Linked DNA regions of Mus musculus. The protein of the gene in region 1 binds, or shares a complex with, the protein of each later gene. Links are inferred from orthologs where the notes say so. Each region holds a gene or a part of one and is shown on either strand. Other genes may lie near its edges.

Region 1 (4,114 bases):
GACAGCTCTGTAACTCCATTGTTTACTAACAAGGTGCGTCCTAGCCAAGACCCCAACTCTGATATGTTATCTGTAGCGAATCTGTATATAAACTGCAGCAGGAAGCCCCCAGCTGCTTCTGCCGAACTGGCCTCCCTTGGCAATACAGAATAGGCAAGGGTGCCCAGCCTAGCCTGTCTGTGAGGCCCGAGGACTGTTGACTTGGTCTATAGCCAGCTTTCACTTGAGGTAACTCACCGTGGTTTCGTCCTCGTGGAGCACCTGGTCATAGCCGCTGAGTGCGACACAGAAGATGATGGCCGTGACATCCTCAAAGCAGTGGATCCACTTCTTGCGTTCAGATCGCTGGCCCCCGACGTCAAACAGCCTGCAGGGAGTCAGGGAAAGCTGTGAGGGCGGGGACGCCTAAGAGCTAGAGGTGAGAGTGAGGAACAGGCTGACAGATGAGCCACTGCCACCCTGGGGACTGCAGGCGGCTCTCATCCCCTGTGACACCTGTCCCAGGACTGATCTGTGTGCTCAAATAGACTGACTCAAAGCCCTGCCTCACCTCTCCGTCTCCTAGTTTCACCTGATATCAAGACACCAAACTTGGAAGTCAGAATGGGTCACCAGGCCTTAGTTAGCACATGAAGGTTACTCTTGAGAGACAATAACCTCCAGTAGAGTCCTGGAACCTGGCAGCACAGTTCAGGCCCTTGTTCTTAGGCCCTCAGAGCCTGCGTCTGGGGAACACCTGGTTTTCTTTTAGGCCTCGCCCTTTCCAGGTTCTCCAGCACGTGAGCAGGAGAGCTGCTCTCTCAGCCTCGCTAGCTTTGAGATTATAGTGAGCTCTAGTCTCCCAGGCATGGCTTGGGCGTACCCACCTGGTTGAGGCTTACTGCCATGTTCCCTTCCAGGGGGCTCTTAAGCAAGCCACCTGCTGCTTTTAGCCTTTGAACTTGGCAGAAACCAAGTACCCAGATGGGCTTCTTCAGGTATCTGTCTGACCAAATGAGAAAGGTCCTTAAGGCAAGACACTACCTGGCTATCCAGATAAAGTGAGGCAGGGCATGAACATTCCCTCGTCTCTCTGCCACATCCCCAGGCCCACCACCACAGGGCCCATCACCATGCCCTATCTCCTTAGGCCTCACCTGAAGTGGAGGTTCTTGAAGGTGAAGTGGGTTTCTACGATGCCAGTTGTTTTGACTCTGGTTCGGAGGATGTCCTGCTCAGTGGGCTGGTAGTCACCGGCTCCAATCCGATCCAGGCTGTCCAGGTAGCTGGGGATGACAACATACAAGAGTCCATGGACCCGGGCCCTGTTCTAGGCTCACTACCTTTAGAGTCTGATATCAGTCATAGCCTTTGCAAGGTTGACTGTGGTATCAATGGATGTGGGGACAAGCAAGAGAGAGCCTGAGGGTCTTAGACTCTCTAAGGTCCTCTTATTCAGACTCAAAGGAGCTGGGCACACAGACCCAGCAAATGAGACTACCAAGTTCACAGCACAGTGCTGTTATGCCTTCATTTAAAAATAATAATGGGCAATAATGGGTAGCATCTACTCTTTTGAGTATGTTCCCTTTTACAGTGTATGAATGTCTTATCTGCATGTATGTCTGTGCACCACACGCATGTGCACCACAGAGGCCAGAGAGGGTTCCAGATCCCCTGGAACTTGAGTCACACACAGTTGTGAGCTATTATGTAAGTGCTGGGAACTGAACCTGAGTCCTCTGGAAGAACAGCCAGTGCTCTTAACCACCCCTCCAGTCCTAGGTTCTATTCTTTACACGTATTCATGTTCCATCTTCACTTTCTCTGTGCCAAATGTACTGCTTCACACATTAAAAAATCTGAGGCTCAGTGCAGGACAGTCCCATGTCTCCAGAGTCTTCGTTCTTAGAGCTCTATGGTACTTTGAGAGGCTCTGCGCATCCACCTACCATCTGATACTTTCTTCTTTTTTACTAAGAGGTCTGTGTGCCTCTTCGCATTTGATGCTTTTGTAAGTGGGATGGGGGGTGTCTACCTCAGGCAAGCAGTGGTAGGACCTCCCTGGAACCTGGATGGTTGGGATCAGGGCTCTCCAAATGCTCTCAATGGAAGGCAGAGTGGGTGTCAAGGGAAGAAGCTGAGGCAGCAGAACAGGTCTGTGATACTGGGCCCACCTTAGAAGACCAGAGTATATCTGGGAAGGTTTATGTTCAGTCCTCAGGTGGCCGACTCTCCTTGTCCACAGCTACTAATAGCCAATTCTTTCAGGCCAATCTCCATGATCCTGTTGGACACCAGGCCTGGGGGACCCTTTCCTTTGTCTTGCTATTCCTACCTCAGAGGGATAACGTCCTCTGAACATACAAGCTGGCCCCTGGTCTCACTTTATGTTGGCTGAGTCTCATCAAAGCCTCCCAAACCATGTATGCTGGTTGGTTTTTTTGAACTTGACACAAACCTGGACATATTTGGGAAGAGGGAATCTTAATTAAGAAAAAGGCTTCCTAAGATTGGTCTGCAGACATGTTTATATGACATTTTCTTGCTTAATGATTGATGTGGAAGGGCCAGGACAGCAGTCTAGGAACAGGCCTGCTCCAAGCCTGGCTGGGGTCTACAATTGGCAGGGCTGGGGTGGGGTGGGGTGGTATGGTGATTAACTGGGGATTAATGGCTCCTCCTGGAGCTGTGAGATTTCACAGCCTTATCAGGGCCAGTTTAACTCCTAAAAGCACAAAACAGGACCCCAAATAGCATTTATGAAAGCAAGATGTGGTGGCATCCCAGTCCCAGCACCCAAGAGGCTGATGCAGAAGAATGGAGAGGTCGGAAGCCTGTCTGAGCTATACAGTACGTTCCAGGTAAACGTAGGATATACGGCAAGGCAAGACAAGGCAAAGCTACACCTGAGGTCCTTCTACCCTTAACAGTCTGTGTATCTGTCTCCCCTCTCCATCTTCCTGTTAGCTTTCTTTCCAGGTGGGCAGCACAGAACACATGACCATGAGAATGTGGCAAAGGAGAGCCAGAGAATGCGCCTGGGTGGGGGGATTCAGAGGGAGTGGGGGATTCAGAGCAGAAAACCATAAGTGGTGGGAGCGTGTGAAAAGAAGGAAGGTGAGCTGGACTCCGTTTTTCAAGGTAAGTGTCAGGAAATATTAGCTGAAGCAGGATGAGAATATAAATATAGCTGATGGGTATGGTGACAGGCGGTGCATGTGTGTGTGTGTGTGCATGTGTGTGACAGTGTGTATGAGTGTGTGTGTGTGCGCACAGATGTGTGTGCATATGTAGGAATGTATGTGTGTGTGTAAGGATGTATCTACGTGTAAGTGTGTGACAGTGTGTATGCATATGTGAGTGTGTGTGTGTGTATATGTGTGTGTGAGTGTGACAGTATGTATGTGTGTATGTGAGTATATATGGGTGTGTGAGTGTGTATAAGTGTATATATGTGTATGTGTGTGTGAGTGTGATAGTATGTATGTGTGTATGTGAGTATATATGGGCGTGTAAGTGTGTGTGTGTGTGAGGGGACTGCTGTTCATTTCATACCTTACTCTGTTTTTGAGATGTTTTTACAAGGTATTTACTTTAGTGTTAATAAAATGGTAAAATTTCAGAGGAATATTTGGTGGACATCCAGAAGACAGGCTGAGGCTAGTAGGCCCTCTGGGGCCTGACAGTCCTCCTGGAAGAGACGTCAACCCTAGCCTGGGGGACCAGCAGGGGACAGGTGGGCAGTGAAGCTCTAGCCTCCAGGGCTAACCTGGAGGTCCTGGAGGGAGATGACTGGTTGGGGGGCCATTCTCAGGCCTATGATCTGTGTGTGCAGAGGAAGTTTGGATCTCTGCTCACAGAGGTGTCCCTGAGAACTCACAGGGCTTGGTGGCCTGGGTGACCACAACCTACCTTAGGTAGCTGCCTCTGTACAATCCCATGCGCATGTGTGAAATGGGAAGAGGTTCTTGGTCTTACTCTAGTTCTGTGGTTGTCTGAATAGAAGTGGCCACCACTGACTCATGTGTTTAAGTGCTTGGCCCATAGGGAGTGGTACTATTAGGAGGTGTGGCCTTGTTGGAGTAGGTGTGGTCTAGTTGGAGGAAGTGTTAGAGGTGGGGCTTTGAGGTAG
Region 2 (4,562 bases), on another chromosome or scaffold:
CATAACCCACAGTCCTAAGAGCCACAAAGCTCTAGCTGCCAATGTCTCTATAGGCATGGCTTCAGAGGGTTAACTCTTCCAGGTCCAGAAGAGTGCCCAGTCAAGCTTTGGGAAAAGAGCCAGGAATGTTTAGGTCATTTTGGGAGATCCAACCATCTCCAAAAGGAACAAGGGGACTAAGAATTCAGGGGCCACAGTCAGGACAACGTGTGTCTTGGGGATGTAGTCAGTGGAAGCTTTTCCCAAGGAGTTGGACCTTAATAGATAACTTGGGGTTGTGAAGAAGACAGAAGAGAAGGGAGGAAGTCCAAGCCAGACTCAGTGGGCAAGGGGACAGGCTGTTGAGGAAGTGCCAGTAGGTCATGAGTGGCTGGCTTGGATGGTTATGTGGCATGGAATGTGTGGGGGCCAAGGAATTCATTTGAAAGGGCTCAAATGCCAAGCTGAGAGCGTATTCTCCAGATTAAAAGGGAAGGCTTTCTCAGAGTTTACAAAGATGGTACCACATGGAAGGTGGTTAGTACCAGAGTTTGGAGAGTAGGGGACCACCATAGTTATAATGATGCAGGCAGAAGAACTAGCATCTTGCTTTGGGACTCCCTGTCAGCCTCCTTCCCAACCCAAGCACAGGCTTGACCAAAGTCTCTCTTACAAATGGCACTGGAGGCTAGGCACTCTTCAGGACACTGTATCCATACAAGCCAGAGGAAGACCTAGTGCCCAGGCCTTTCTTCTTCAGTGGCAGGGACAGGACACCAAAATGGAGGATCCAGTTGGGCCCAGCAGGGTCCAGATGTCACTCTCTGTATCAGAGAATCCTGCTACTCATTCTATATCAAGATTGATATATGCCCTAGGGTTTGGGAGACAGGGCAATAGAGAGCTACTCTCTCTTGAGACTGAAGGACTAGGATGTTGCTCAGTTGGTAGAATGTTTACCTAGAATGCAGGAAGCCCTTGGTTTGATTGCCAGCACCAAATATAATGGGTGCATGCCTACGAGCCCAGCATTCAAGAGGTGGAAGCAGAAAGATTAGAAGTTTAAGGTCATTCTACACACTGAGTTCAAGGCCAGCCTAGGCTTCATAAGACCTTGTCTTGGGACAGGGGGATCCACTACAGCGACTCTTCATGGATCAAGACCTTTCTCTTCTGAATACCCACAGCACCTGGTTGCTCATTTCCCAACTACTCCCCGGCACCTGCTATGTGCTCCATCTGTGCCAGATAATAAGGACAAAGTGAGAAAGAGATGGCCGGGCTTCATAATATAACTAACCACCTTCTCTAGAGAGTAAGGAGGGTCTTGCAGCCATGTTCTTCCCATTAGGCTCTTCTGATGGCTTAGGGACCCAAAGGCATCTCAGGAGGAAACTATAGGTTAAAGGGTGCACAGACAGGCTCAGGGAAGGCAGTTAGGAGAGAGAAGAGATGCATCAGAGGGCACTTCTTAGTTAGCAGGTCAGCAAGATCTTCCTGGTCCTGTGAGCAGACCTGGGGATAATGGTGGTCATCCCATAAACAGCTGGGCAATTAGGCCACAAGAAAGACCCAAAGAAAGGCTCCTGGGGGCAGCCAGGCATGGTGGTGCTTGCCTTTAATCCTAGAGTTCCAGAGTTAGGCTATGGACAGGTCTCCGCGAGTTGGGGGTCAGCCTGGTCCATAGACTGACATCCAGGACACAGAGTGAGACACTGGAGAAATCAAACTCCCCTCAGCCTAGAAATAAGTAGCACTGCCTCATCCTGAAACTTTGGCCCTGGGCAGGGAGGCCTCAGCTGGGGCAGGTAAGCGGAGTCCCAGGTTTTATTTATGTAGCTTTGTGACCTTAGAGAAGACATTCTCCAAGCCTCTATTTTCTGATCTACAAAATAAAGGCAATAGTTCCTTTCTCATGGGGCCTTTAGGAGGAAAAGATGAGGGATTCTTATAAACTGTAACAAGTAACAGTTCAACAACATTCCAATAGTAGCATAAGCACTTCTCATTAAGAAGAAAGACTACAGCCAGGAAATTAAAGAACTCCTGGTGTCACCCATGAGGCCTTGGTGACATCCTCACATGCTCATCTGGTGCCTGGGGTAGGTGGGCAAAAGGGATCCCGGAAAGGCCACAACCTCACTCTGCATCTGGGCAGCCATTTCTGAGGATTACCCAGTATGCCAACCTGCCCATGTCCTCAAAACTCTGGAGTATCCAAAGCATGGAAAAGGAGAGGGGCAGACCTCCGCAGCAGGGCTTGTCCCCAGCCCTCATGCAGGACCCACACTGGCAGCAGTGTAGAGTCTGTTCAGAGACTCTCCTTCCTCCCACTCCCACCCACAGATAATTGCCACTTCCCTGCCGCCCCAGCCTGATCTTCAAAAGCCACTATTCCAAACTTGATCCAAAACAAGGCTGCTGACCCAGGGACTCTAGGGATGCCATTCTGAGCACAGCAGTCACCTAGCCCTATAAATCTCCAAACTGGAAAGGCTAGTTCCCAGAAGGATCTACACTTGGGTCTAGCTCCTGGAGATCAGTAACACACACACACACACACACACACACACACACACACACACACACACTGTAGCCCTAGTGAGGTGAACACTGTCTTTCTTCTGCCTGACCCTTCATACAGCACCACCTGCCCGATTAAAAGTTTCCAGACAGATCAAAGTCTTAACTGTCCTTATATGAAATTGCACTAGCAACCCACATTCCCACCCCACCGCACCCCCCACTCCCAACCCCACAACCCCGCCGCTGCTGCCACTGCCTCCGGTTCCTCACTGACACCTCACTGACACCGAGTGAGCTACCCAGACTGACTCTGGGGAGAGTTAAGAGTCCAAGCGCAAGAAGTCTCCAGGATTCCCAGGTCTCTTAGCCCACAGACTTACGCCCCAGGGGTACACACAGACTAAGTTCAGTCACTCACACCCTAAGGGTGTGCGCATTTGCCCACTAACACACAGATTCCCCCAGTATGCTGGTAAACACACCAAGATGACACTCACCGAGATCACGCTCTAGAGGAAACAAAGTTCATCAGCGCACCGGCAGCCGGCTCTCACCGCCCAGTTTTGCGCAGTACAAGGGCTGGGAGCCCGAGCCCTCGGGACAGTCACGTAATGGGCTCTCCCTGTTTGGCGCTGACTCGACCGGCGCTCCCGTCCCCAGGCCTCACTTGGCGACCTCTCTTGGTGTCCGCTCCCCTCTAGGAAGCACCTCTCACCTCCCCGCTGCGCTGGTCCCCTCCAAGGGCTGCCGCCGCTGTTCCTGGTGCCCGAGTCCCATGCCGAGTGGCGCAGGGTCCCACGTGCCTGGAAGCGCCGCGGTCCCCGCCCTACTCCGCCCCGCTCCGCACCCCATAGCCTGGCTGTGAGCAGGAGGGCGGGGCAGACTCTGGGCAGACGCCGGAGCCGCCCCCAACCCTTCTAAACAGATGCTTCCAGTCTGCCACCCGCTTGGGGACGCGGTCGGTCAGTGTCGCCGCCGGTCAGCGTGTCCGCCACGGCTGTTGAGCAAGGAGAGGCGGAAGGCGACCGTCCTGGCTGAGCAGAGGTCACCTGCTTAGCTCACCGATTTTCAGCGACGCCCAAGTTTTACAAGGTTTGCTTTGTGCTGGCCTGGCTCCTGTCACTGCCCACCGATGGACCTTTATACTGACCCTCAGCCTTCCCTCCGCTGCTGCCCCATCCCGCGTCACTTACGGATGGACAGATGGATGTGCTTTCAGACTGCTGGTACCAGCAGAAATCTTTGCCGGCTTCACCACCTCCGTCTGCTTTTGCTCTTCGTTCAGGTCACTAACGGGTCCATGAAGTCCTGGTTTAGTTTGATCTCTCATCTTGAACTGCCTCAATTCTTCTCTCTGGCCTGCTCTGAAGACTTTCTGTAGTCACAAACCCCATTCCTGTCCTAGTTTGAGCTCAAAAAGGCAAGGACCACACCAGCCACCTCACTGCTGTCCTGTGAAGGGGTGGATGAATGAGAGGGTGTCTGCCCCCTCCCATTTCTGACTCAGGCATCTGTTAGTATAAGTTCTAGGCCACCTTTAGCACTGTAAGACACATTTTCTGCGAAATGAAGCCAGTCCTTCCATGATCCTACTTTTCGTGTCCATCCAGGGAGTCTTGGGGTGGCCAAATAAACGGACAAGTTCAGAACAAGCCTTTTCCTATGGTGAGGAGTTTGCTCTCTGCCCAAGGGCTGTAGACTTTGTTAGTTGTGTATCCGCTGACTAAAGTCCCATTCGCAGCCCCTGGAGGGGTCCAGAAAGGGTCCGATCTGCAGCCCTGTCCAGAGTGAGAAGGGTGAATACACAGAGCTGGGTGGCTGAGCCTCTCTGCAGCCTCCTGGGGCCTTTGAGCAGACACAAAGGCTCCTTGTCTAACCTCTGCTGGCTATGGGAGCTGGTGCAGGCAGCTTCCAGAAATCTAGATCTCTCCACAGCCACCCTTGTGGCTTTAGGGTCCTCGTGTGAGGGAAGTCTTTCTGGTTATTGAAATCCCAGCGGATTTCCTTTTCCTGATCTCCCTTCTGAGCCGTCAGGTCTTTTTCTGCTGCTTCCCCTA

The links.
Region 2: the proteins of Gnao1 (region 1) and P2ry2 are in contact, whole or in part, in a cryo-EM structure (PDB 9K20), measured with the Homo sapiens proteins. The link is inferred for Mus musculus from reciprocal best matches to the Homo sapiens genes GNAO1 and P2RY2. Residues at the interface, in NP_066268.1 of Homo sapiens: Ala31, Lys32, Asp33, Val34, Leu195, Gln305, Glu309, Glu318, Ile319, Tyr320, Cys321, His322, Met323, Val334, Phe336, Thr340, Asp341, Ile343, Ile344, Asn347, Leu348, Gly350, Cys351, Gly352, Leu353, Tyr354; in NP_002555.4 of Homo sapiens: Asn66, Ser68, His130, Arg131, Gly134, Val135, Pro138, Leu139, Leu142, Arg143, Met221, Arg224, Leu225, Ala229, Tyr230, Gly231, Thr232, Ser233, Pro237, Ala239, Lys240, Lys242, Ser243, Arg245, Thr246, Leu308.

The regions. Positions count from the first base shown.
Region 1 is NC_000074.6:93,946,555-93,950,668, reverse strand, and holds part of Gnao1 (guanine nucleotide-binding protein G(o) subunit alpha), read right to left. Parts: intron 1,266-4,114; coding exon 1,137-1,265; intron 368-1,136; coding exon 238-367; intron 1-237. UniProt on the Homo sapiens protein: Guanine nucleotide-binding proteins (G proteins) function as transducers downstream of G protein-coupled receptors (GPCRs) in numerous signaling cascades.
Region 2 is NC_000073.6:101,008,710-101,013,271, forward strand, and holds the start of P2ry2 (P2Y purinoceptor 2), read right to left. Parts: upstream 3,290-4,562; 5' UTR 3,003-3,289; intron 1-3,002. UniProt on the Homo sapiens protein: Receptor for ATP and UTP coupled to G-proteins that activate a phosphatidylinositol-calcium second messenger system. The affinity range is UTP = ATP > ATP-gamma-S >> 2-methylthio-ATP = ADP.